Linked DNA regions of Ovis aries. The protein of the gene in region 1 binds, or shares a complex with, the protein of each later gene. Links are inferred from orthologs where the notes say so. Each region holds a gene or a part of one and is shown in the gene's direction. Other genes may lie near its edges.

The links. Proteins that work in one complex are often made in the same cells at the same time.
Region 2: the proteins of GCC2 (region 1) and RAB6A are in contact, whole or in part, in a crystal structure (PDB 3BBP), measured with the Homo sapiens proteins. The link is inferred for Ovis aries from reciprocal best matches to the Homo sapiens genes GCC2 and RAB6A. Residues at the interface, in NP_852118.2 of Homo sapiens: Thr1585, Ile1588, Leu1589, Glu1591, Gln1592, Leu1595, Leu1596, Glu1599, Arg1602; in NP_942599.1 of Homo sapiens: Lys15, Ile46, Gly47, Ile48, Trp67, Arg74, Phe75, Ser77, Leu78, Ser81, Tyr82, Asp85.

What each region holds. Positions count from the first base shown.
Region 1 is NC_056056.1:61,917,385-61,921,714, forward strand, and holds part of GCC2 (GRIP and coiled-coil domain-containing protein 2), read left to right. Parts: intron 1-1,633; coding exon 1,634-1,734; intron 1,735-1,828; coding exon 1,829-1,927; intron 1,928-4,330. UniProt on the Homo sapiens protein: Golgin which probably tethers transport vesicles to the trans-Golgi network (TGN) and regulates vesicular transport between the endosomes and the Golgi.
Region 2 is NC_056068.1:51,957,863-51,962,862, reverse strand, and holds the start of RAB6A (ras-related protein Rab-6A), read left to right. Parts: upstream 1-1,550; 5' UTR 1,551-1,611; exon of another isoform or gene 1,612-1,760; 5' UTR 1,761-1,986; coding exon 1,987-2,056; intron 2,057-5,000. UniProt on the Homo sapiens protein: The small GTPases Rab are key regulators of intracellular membrane trafficking, from the formation of transport vesicles to their fusion with membranes.

The sequences.
Region 1 (4,330 bases):
AGGAGGATACTGTAGCAAGAGGAGACGGCAGGTGCTGGTATGTTCACACTGCTGACATCCGGGGGTCCTCCTGGGAGGTTCTAGAGTGGGAGAGGCCACTCCCAACAGGGCTGGTGTAATGTGTGGAGGAGTCTGGCTTCATCACTCCTGCTTATCCGTCAGAGTAACCAAGATGGGGTTGTGTGAAGTACCTGTAATTCCTCATTTTACTGCCCAGTTGTTGTGGGAGTAGTGAGAACAATCTAGAGTGACCCACAGTCTTCTGTGATGGATGGTTGGAATGGTTGGGGTGACTGGTAGAGGGCTGACCAGGTAAGCCACTTCTCTGCATCATTAGCGTTAGAAGCCCCGAGGTGGAGATCACCAAGGAAGTGAGTGTAGAAGAAAGACAAGGACCAGAAACAGTTCTCTGTCGAGTAAAAGTCAGAAAGATAGAAATGGCAAAAGAGTGAAAAGAAATAACTGGAGGGTTAGAAATACCCAGAGCCTAAGATGTCTTGGAAGCTAAGACCAGTGAAGTGAATTTGGAGGAAGTGTTGAGGAGGGAAGAAAGGCCACTTTAGTACTCAGGCCCAGCCTGAGCTAAGCAGCATCAAGGTCATTGGTAACTTGATAACAGTTGCCATGGTATGCAAGAGAATGACTGGAACGGATTCAGGAAGAAAATAGGGGAGAGAAATGTGAGAACAGACACAGACCATGCTCAGAAGGAAGAGATGGGACAGAGTCCAGAGGGGTGGTGTGGATTTGTGTGTGTGTGTGTGAGAGAATGAATGAAGTCTCACCTGTCTTCTCATGACCCTCCCCTCCCCTCTTTGGCTGCTTCCACCCTTTGTTCCTGACCTTAAGCTCTTGGTGGCATTTCTCTTGTCGCATGTCTGTCAACTGTTGGGGTGAATCCATTAGAGAGTGGGTTTTGCTGCACAAGAGAGGGGAGAATTATGCACTGATGGCCTGAGTAGGTGAGGGGGTATGGGGTGAGACACAGAAGTGGAAGAGTTAGCCTGTGTTACACACACAGACAGTGCCCCTGTAACAGCCGAGGAAGGCAGTGTGAACAAAGGCACAACTCAATGAATCAGCAAGTGTAGAAGTTCAGATCATTACTGAAGTTCATCAGAGACATGAGAAGTAAGATCTGGAACATGGAGTTTACGTCGGGGAAACAGCCAGAGAGATTAAGGGAGAGTCACACTGGACATACTGAAGTCCAGCTGGAAAAAATCAGACCCACCCACCAGAGGCACCTGTGGATCATGAACAGTGAAGAGCGTCTGACATCTCTGCTTCATCCTGATTGGCTGTCACCACCAAGGAGCCCAGCATACCTGCATTTCCAGGAGGTCCTCTGCTGTTCAGGGGTCCGAATGGCCTCTCCATGTATGGACACTGAGGAGATGGGCTGTTCTGGAAGACTGAAGAAAATGAGAATTCTGTTCATTGTTTGCCTTGCCTAGAAAATCCATAATTAAGCTTTTACTTAAAAATAGATACTTTGCTAGTTATTTTAATTTCAAATTGTGTATTTTGTACTAGATTAAAGTTTCATTTCTAGGACTATGTGAGTAATTCTTATATTTTCCCCTAGTTTTCATTTGAGTTTATGTATAATTGTTTCATTTTATGTTTTTAGGATACTTGGAAAAAGAAGCCAAAGAGAAAGAGGAGAAAATAAGTAAGTTAAAACTAGTTGCTGTGAAAGCAAAGAAAGAACTAGATTCTAGCAGGAAAGAAGTAAGTTGACTTAAAAATCCAAGATTTGTGAACCTTACCTTTTAGAAAATCATGTTTTTCTGTGCATTAAAAAACTATCATATATTTAAAATAGGCCCAGACGCTCCAGGAAGAACTTGAATTTGTTCGCTCAGAAAGGGATCAGTTGTCTACTTCCATGAGAGATCTCATTCAAGGAGCTGAAAACTATAAGGTAAAAATAGTTACATTAATAACAAGTTACATTTGTGACTTGTAAGTTAAGAAATGTACTTGAAATATAAAACTTTTTTTTTGTTTATTTATTTTAATTGGAGGCTAATTACTGGTTTTAGCCATACATTAACATGAATCAGCCATGGGTGTACACCTGAACTCCCATCCTGAACCCCCTCCCGCATCCCCGGTCATCCCATCCCTCAGGGTCGTCCCAGTGCACAAGCCCTGAGCACCCTGTCTCATGCATTGAACCTGGACTGGTGATCTGTTTCACATATGATAATATACATGTTTCAATGCTATTCTCTCAAATCATCCCACCCTTGCCTTCTCCCACAGAGTCAAAAAGCCTGTTCTTTATATCTGTGTGTCTCTTTCACTGTCTCACATACAGGGTCATCATTACCATGTTTCTAAGTTCCATATATATGCGTTAGTATACTGTATTGGTATTTTTCTTTCTGACTTAACTTCACTCTGTATAATAGGCTCCAGTTTCATCCACCTTATTAGAACTGACTCAAATACATTATTTTTAATGTCTGAGTAACATTCCATTGTGTATATATACCACAGCTTTCTTATCCATTTGTCTGCTGATGGACATCTAGGTTGCTTCCATGTCCTGGCTATTGTAAACAGTGCTGCGATGAACACTGGGGTACACGTGTCTCTTTCAATTCTGGTTTCCTCAGTGTGTATGCCCAGCAGTGGGATAGCTGGGTCATAAGGCAGTTCTATTTCCAGTTTTTAAGGAATCTCCACACTGTTCTCCACAGTGGCTGTACTAGTTTGCATTCCCACCAACAGTGTAAGAGGGTTCCCTTTTCTCCATACCCTCTCCAGCATTTGTTGTTTGTAGACTTTTTGATAGCAGCCGTCCTGACTGGCGTGAGATGGTACCTCATTGTGGTTTTGATTTGCATTTCTCTGATAATGAAAACTCTTGTCCATAACGTAGTCACCTTGTATGTTTTAGCAAAGGTTTGCACTATTTATGTGTGTGTGTAATGTGTCATCCTAGTGTCAAGGTTTTAAGTGGCTAGGGTTTCCAGTTCCAGTTCAGTTGCTCAGTCGTGTCTGACTCTTTGCGACCGCATGAATCACAGCACTCCAGGCCTCCCTGTCCATCACCAACTCCCGGAGTTCACTCAGACTCACGTCCATCGAGTCAGTGATGCCATCCAGCCATCTCATCCTCTGTCGTCCCCTTCTCCTCCTGCCCCCAATTCCTCCCAGCATCATAGTCCTTTCCAATGAGTCAGCTCTTCGCATGAGGTGGCCAAAGTACTGGAGTTTCAGCTTTAGCATCATTCCTTCCAAAGAAATCCCAGGGCTGATCTCCTTCAGAATGGATTGGTTGGATCTCCTTGCAGTCCAAGGGACTCTCAAGAGTCTTCTCCAACACCACAGTTCAAAAGCATCAGTTCTTCGGCGCTCAGCCTTCTTCACAGTCCAACTCTCACATCCATACCTGACCACAGGAAAAACCATAGCCTTGACTAGACGGACCTTTGTTGGCAAAGTAATGTCTCTGCTTTTGAATATGCTATCTAGGTTGGTCATAACTTTTCTTCCAAGGAGTAAGCGTCTTTTAATTTTATGGCTGCAGTCACCATCTGCAGTGATTTTGGAGCCCCAAAAAATAAAGTCTGACACTGCTTCCACTGTTTCCCCAGCTAGGGTTTAAATATGCCTTTAAGGTATTGTTTTTTAAGACTACCATTTCTGTTTGGAATTTCCTAATAAAATCAGTAATAAGCAAAGATGGCTATTATTACAGTCCTCCGGCCAAGGAAATGTGAAAGTTAGACATGTGTGTTCTTGCCTGGAGAATCCCTGGGACAGGGGAGCCTGGTGGCCTGCCGTCTGTGGGGTTGCACAGAGTTGGACATGACTGAAGTGACTTAGCAGCAGCAGCAGCAGACATGTCTAACACAAATGTGAAAACACTATTTGGAGGTATTACTGCTCATCAGCCTAAATAACATGAGACACTATTATAGGAAGATGAAAAAATAAAACAAGAATTTGCCGTTTTGTTTCTTTATGCATTCAAGTATTTCTACAGCCAGGCTGAGCCTGAGTACTAGGAAGACGGTGGTCAACCAGGTAGGTGGAGTTTCTGCCAACCTGGCCTTAGTCCCAAAGGCAGTAAGAGCAGATAGACAAATAGTGTGTAGGAAAGTTAAGGTGGGTGGGGTGACTTCTGTGTAACAACAAGCACTGTAAGCCAGGCAGTCTTCTCAGTGCTTGACATGTCCTGTCACACGTGGTGTGTGTGTGATAAGCATGTTATTAACGTTGCTGGTTTACCAGCAAGGAGTCAGGTCACAGAGCAAGAAGCCAGTGGAGCAGGGGTTAGGTTCAAGCATTTGGTTCCAGATCACTTCTTCCA
Region 2 (5,000 bases), on another chromosome or scaffold:
TTTGACAATTTATTCGATAATTCTTAACATTTATTTATCTTTTATTAATAGACTTTATTTTTTAAAAGTTTTAGATTTACAGAAAAATTGAGAGTATAGGAAATCCCCATGTGCCTCTCCTCACCCCCAGTTTCCTCTATTACCCTGCATTAGTATGATATGTTTGTTACAATTAATACCTGAATATTGTTACACTGTAATTAACTAAAGTCCATATATATTTAGATTTCCTTAGTTTTTGCCTAATGTCCTTTCTCTGTTCCAGGATCCCATTCAGCTTAACAGTTTAGTTATCATGTTAGTGTGTCCACATTACTCTTGGTTGTCACATCTTCTTGAGCTCCTCTTGAGTGTGACATTAGTTTTGGGGGCTCATCTTCACTTTGGGGGTCATGAACTGGGTTGAAAGTTATGGATTCTCTTCACAGAAAAATAGGCAAGCTGTAGATGGCTAATTTAAGGGAGGTCTACCCACAGCTGATTCAGAAACCCTGCTTTAGAAGAAACAGATGATCCTTAGAATATCCACTTCCCCACATCAGGGCCATGCTCTATCTCCAATTTGCTGTGTGACCTTTCTGCAAACCCATTTCCTACATGAGCCTCAGTTACACCAGCTGTAAAATGGAGCATCTGGTTTACCTGATATCTAAATCCTTTTCTATCACAGTAGAAGGTGGGGTCACCTAGAGCTGTCCATATCTGAACAACAAAGATTGGTAACAGAAGACCATAACAGGTCAGGCAAAGAAAGTGAATAGGCTTATCAACAGGAGTTGTGGAGGTCCAATGGGGGAAAAGACAAAACCTGGGTTCCACTTTATGACTGTGGATTTTGTAAGTCATTTCCTTCCCATGAGCTTCTGTTTCTTCATCTGCAAAAAATATGAAAGCCCTGCTTCTGGTAGTTAAGAAACTCCTCGGAACAACAGCGGAGACTGTACCAAGAAGGGTATCATGCAAGGAATTAGAAGAAAAAAAAGGAGAAAGTGGGTGAAAGGCGGATGTGAGGAATGAGAAGCAAGGTTGAGGGCTCAGGAAAGAGGAACCATCTGCACACCTAAGGCCTTCCGACTTCACCTGCACTTGTCTGGGTCAATTCTCTTTCCTTTCCGGCTCCGCCTCCGCCCCAATTCCCACCCCTCCTCTCCCCTCCCCTCAGGCTGGGCCTGGCCACACTTCGCATGGCCGCCAAGCTCAGCCGCTTTCCACCACGCGAGGGTAGCGCGCGCGCTCTGGCGCCGCCAACTCACTCCCATCTCTGCCTGCCCTTGACCTCTTTCGATTGGTTCATCCAGTAACTGACGTAAGTGCTCCCTATTCCACCTCCAACAGTTCCTCCAGCCTCCGCCCCACCACCTCCCTGCATCTTCCCAAGCCGGTGGAAACCTAACCACCCCTGATCTCCGCTGAGCGGGCGGAACCGGGAAAGCAGGCAGAACCAGGAAGGCGCAGTCTGTGGCGCGCACGCGCACGCACGCACGCACGCCGGGGCTGGCTGGGCGGCAGGCTCGCGCCCGGGCTCGCCCCGCGCCGCGCCACAGGCTCGCGCACTCAGCAGGTTGGGCTGCGGCGGCGGCAGCTGTGGAGCTGAAGCGCTGCGTGTGAGAGGTCCCAAACGCTTCTGCGGCTTCCACTCCGCCACCCTCACCTCAGTTTCGGTGCCGGGTGCTCAGAGGGGAAAGGCGCTAGCCTTGGGATCCCCCCCACCCCTAGCACACCCCTGGCTGCTTCCGACACCGCCTTCATTCCCTTTCTAGCTGCGGGCCTCGCCAGGTGCTAGGCGACTCCGAGGGGAGGCGACGGCGACGGCTGCCTGTCTGTGTAGAGGAGCCCTGCTCTCCAGCCTTGCTCCACCGCCGGGCCCTGCAGGGGCCGAGAGAGCTCGGCGCCGGCCCTTACTCTAGCCTCTTCGTCAACCGGTTGGAGCGGCGTCGGTCCGGGAGGTCTCTGGGCTGAGGCGGCGGCAGCTTCTCCGGCTCCATCATGTCCGCGGGCGGAGACTTCGGGAATCCGCTGAGGAAATTCAAGCTGGTGTTCCTGGGAGAGCAGAGCGGTGAGTGCGCGGCTCCCCCACTCCTGGCAGCTGGCCGTGGCTTCCCCGCACCGCCCCCCAATGCGGCCCTTCAGTCCGTGGAGGCTCCCTGCGGGCCTCGCGTTAGCGCTCGGTTCTACCCCCCGCAGCCCCTGCCCGTATTCGGTTCGCCGACCCCTCTTCGCCACCCGTTCCTCTTCCCGTGATCCGTCGCTCGGATTTTGACCCTTCAGTCCACGGGCTCCGTTCCCCGCAGCCCGGCCCTCTCCAGTCGATCTGCCCTCCCCACTCCTCACCCCGCCCAGCCCCAGCCTGCTGTCCATCCCTTTCTTCCTCCGGTCTCCGTCGTCTCGCCAACCCCAGCTCCCTCCCTTGAGCCCCACCCTTGTTCCTTGCTCTTATCTCAGTTGGTCTGCTCTGTGAGGCCCACCCGGGAAGCCCCACGCTGGGTAACCGGCCCTCTTCAACCTTGTGCTAGGAGGGTGGGATCTGGGCGTTGTTTTCCCCAGAGGTTTAGCCGCGAGAGGTGCGGGTCTTACCGAAGGTGGGAAGTAGGTGGGGGGGGAGGTCCTAGGAAATTATTGGATTGTTTTCACCTGGGTGGGGGAATTGGCCGGGGTTTTGGAGGATATGTATCTGAATTGGAGGGGACTTGAGGATGGAGTGGTTGGTGAGTGAGGGAGTGGCGGCGGCAGTGGCGATTTTTGCCCCTTGGGTTAGGCTGTGGCTCGTTGGAAAACCTCGTTTTTTTCTCTTGACTTTCATCCCTGACGATCCTTTCGGCAGTGTTCATGCCTTTCCAATCTCTGCCAGATGCTATGTCATGATCGTTTTACTTGGAATTTTTCACATCACACCTCTCCTTTTTCTGCTTCAACGCGAAGCAGCATCTGATTCTCCTCACGGTGGTGCAGACAGGAATTACTGGGGAGGTGTTAATTATTCCATTTCATTAGTATTTTCCAAATATATATCAATATTTAGGATTACTTTGAGAGACAGGTTTAGAATAATGAACATCTTTGTTTTGTAGGATTTCATTTGGGCTTTGGGAGTAGAGAAGAGAGTAGAGAAGAAATCGATTCATCCACTTGTTATCTAAATTAGATTTGAATATGTAATATCATTTTGACTAAATGATTCTTGTATAGTTAATATTAGTTCGTATCTGATGAGTGAAATTGTTGTGTCATTTACCTGGTCAAACTTGTGCTGTCATTGTACTACAAAGTAATACAAATTAGGTATAAGGTTCTAATTTTGTGATGACCGTTTCTAAAATTACTTCTTATGGTAATTCTAATTTTATGCTATATTATGTAAACTTCATACTCTGTAGTTTAGCGATTATCATGCTCTGTTGTTTCTCTCACATTTTTCTTGTCTTTAAAATTGAGTCATTGAGAGATTAATTAGTTTCTCCCGAGTCATCAGACAGTTGAGTTATCTGCTAGATATTTTAGGTTAGGCTATAGAAAACATTTATTTCTTTTGATGGAAAAGAAAATAACTGATAGATAGCAAATAAATTCGGAGCTCTTATTACTACTTTGAACTATTTATACTAATTGGAATGGCATTAAAATAGGTTAATAATAGTTGCAAAATTGCTTCCAGTTGGTCTTGAGGAATTGTTTTTTTCCTTTCATAAATAATCTTTTCTCCCTGACCTCTTATCAAGTCTCCTCGTTGCGTATTTTTCCTTTATGTATTTCCAAGTAAATATAAACTTGTTCCTTTAAATAACTTACTGAAACCTCTGAGATTGATCCCTGTCTATGTATTTTATGACATTTTCAAGACAGTGCCATACATAAAATACACCTATTGGTCATTATTGATAAATAGGACACACATACACATACACACACAAAGTGCTTATGGTGCACTCTAGGGATTTGATTGCCTGCCTTACATTGTGATGCAGAGCTATTCAGTTTGCATGAAAAATACATTAATCTCTGTCTTAGGAAGATTTTAGTATGAATAGAGACCATAATTTAAGAATCTGCAAGTTTCCTTTGAATTTCTTGAGTATTTATATTCTAATTCACATTGCAGAGTTTTATGGCTTCTCATTTAATTTCTTAAATCTTAACTAACTCCCCTTCCTTCCACCGTCTTAAATTTTTTGTAACTAGACTTGATTTTTTAGAGCAGTTTTAGATTTACAGAAAAATTAAGATCTTGCAGAGTTCCCATCTAGCCCCACCCGGATTCCTCTATTGTTAACATCTTGGTCGCATTTGTTATTGTTAATGAACCAATATTGGTACATTATTAAGTAAAATATATAGCTTATTCAGGTCTTCTCAATTTTTATCTCTTTGTCTTTAAACATTCAATTCAGGATGCCACATTACATTTGGTTGTCCTGTCTCCTTAGGCTCATCTTAGATTTTTTTTTTTAGCATTGTGTTTACATGCTTTTTAACTCTGTAGAACTGTGAGATTTATTATCTTTTGAGACCACTGTATTGCTCAGTAATACCGTCCATTGGCATTGGAAAGATTGATCTCTGTTTTCACAGGCAGTGTCTGTAGTTTTCTTATGCATTAGCAAAAGTCTAGAGTCCATGTCATCTTGATTTAACTCATGAATTTTTTATTTTTAGGTTTTAGAATTCCACAGTTCATCTTTCAAAGACTAATCTGTAGCAAAGCCTTGTCTCTTTAATAGCATTTACCATATTTCTAATTCTTACTTGTGTTTATTTTTGTCTGTTTCCCACAACAGAATGCAAGTCCCATGAAGATTAAAAATTATTTTTTTGTTCATTGTATCCCCAGTGCCTAGAAGAGTGCCAGGCTTATAGCAGGTACTCAGAATGAATGATGATTAAATCTAATAGTAACCAAAGCCAAAGTCATCTTTGTTATGGTGAAGTCTACATTTTTTCCTTATGCAATTAATAGTAACAGTAACTCTTTTGGGAGGGGAAGGCTGCACTGCATGATTTCTGGG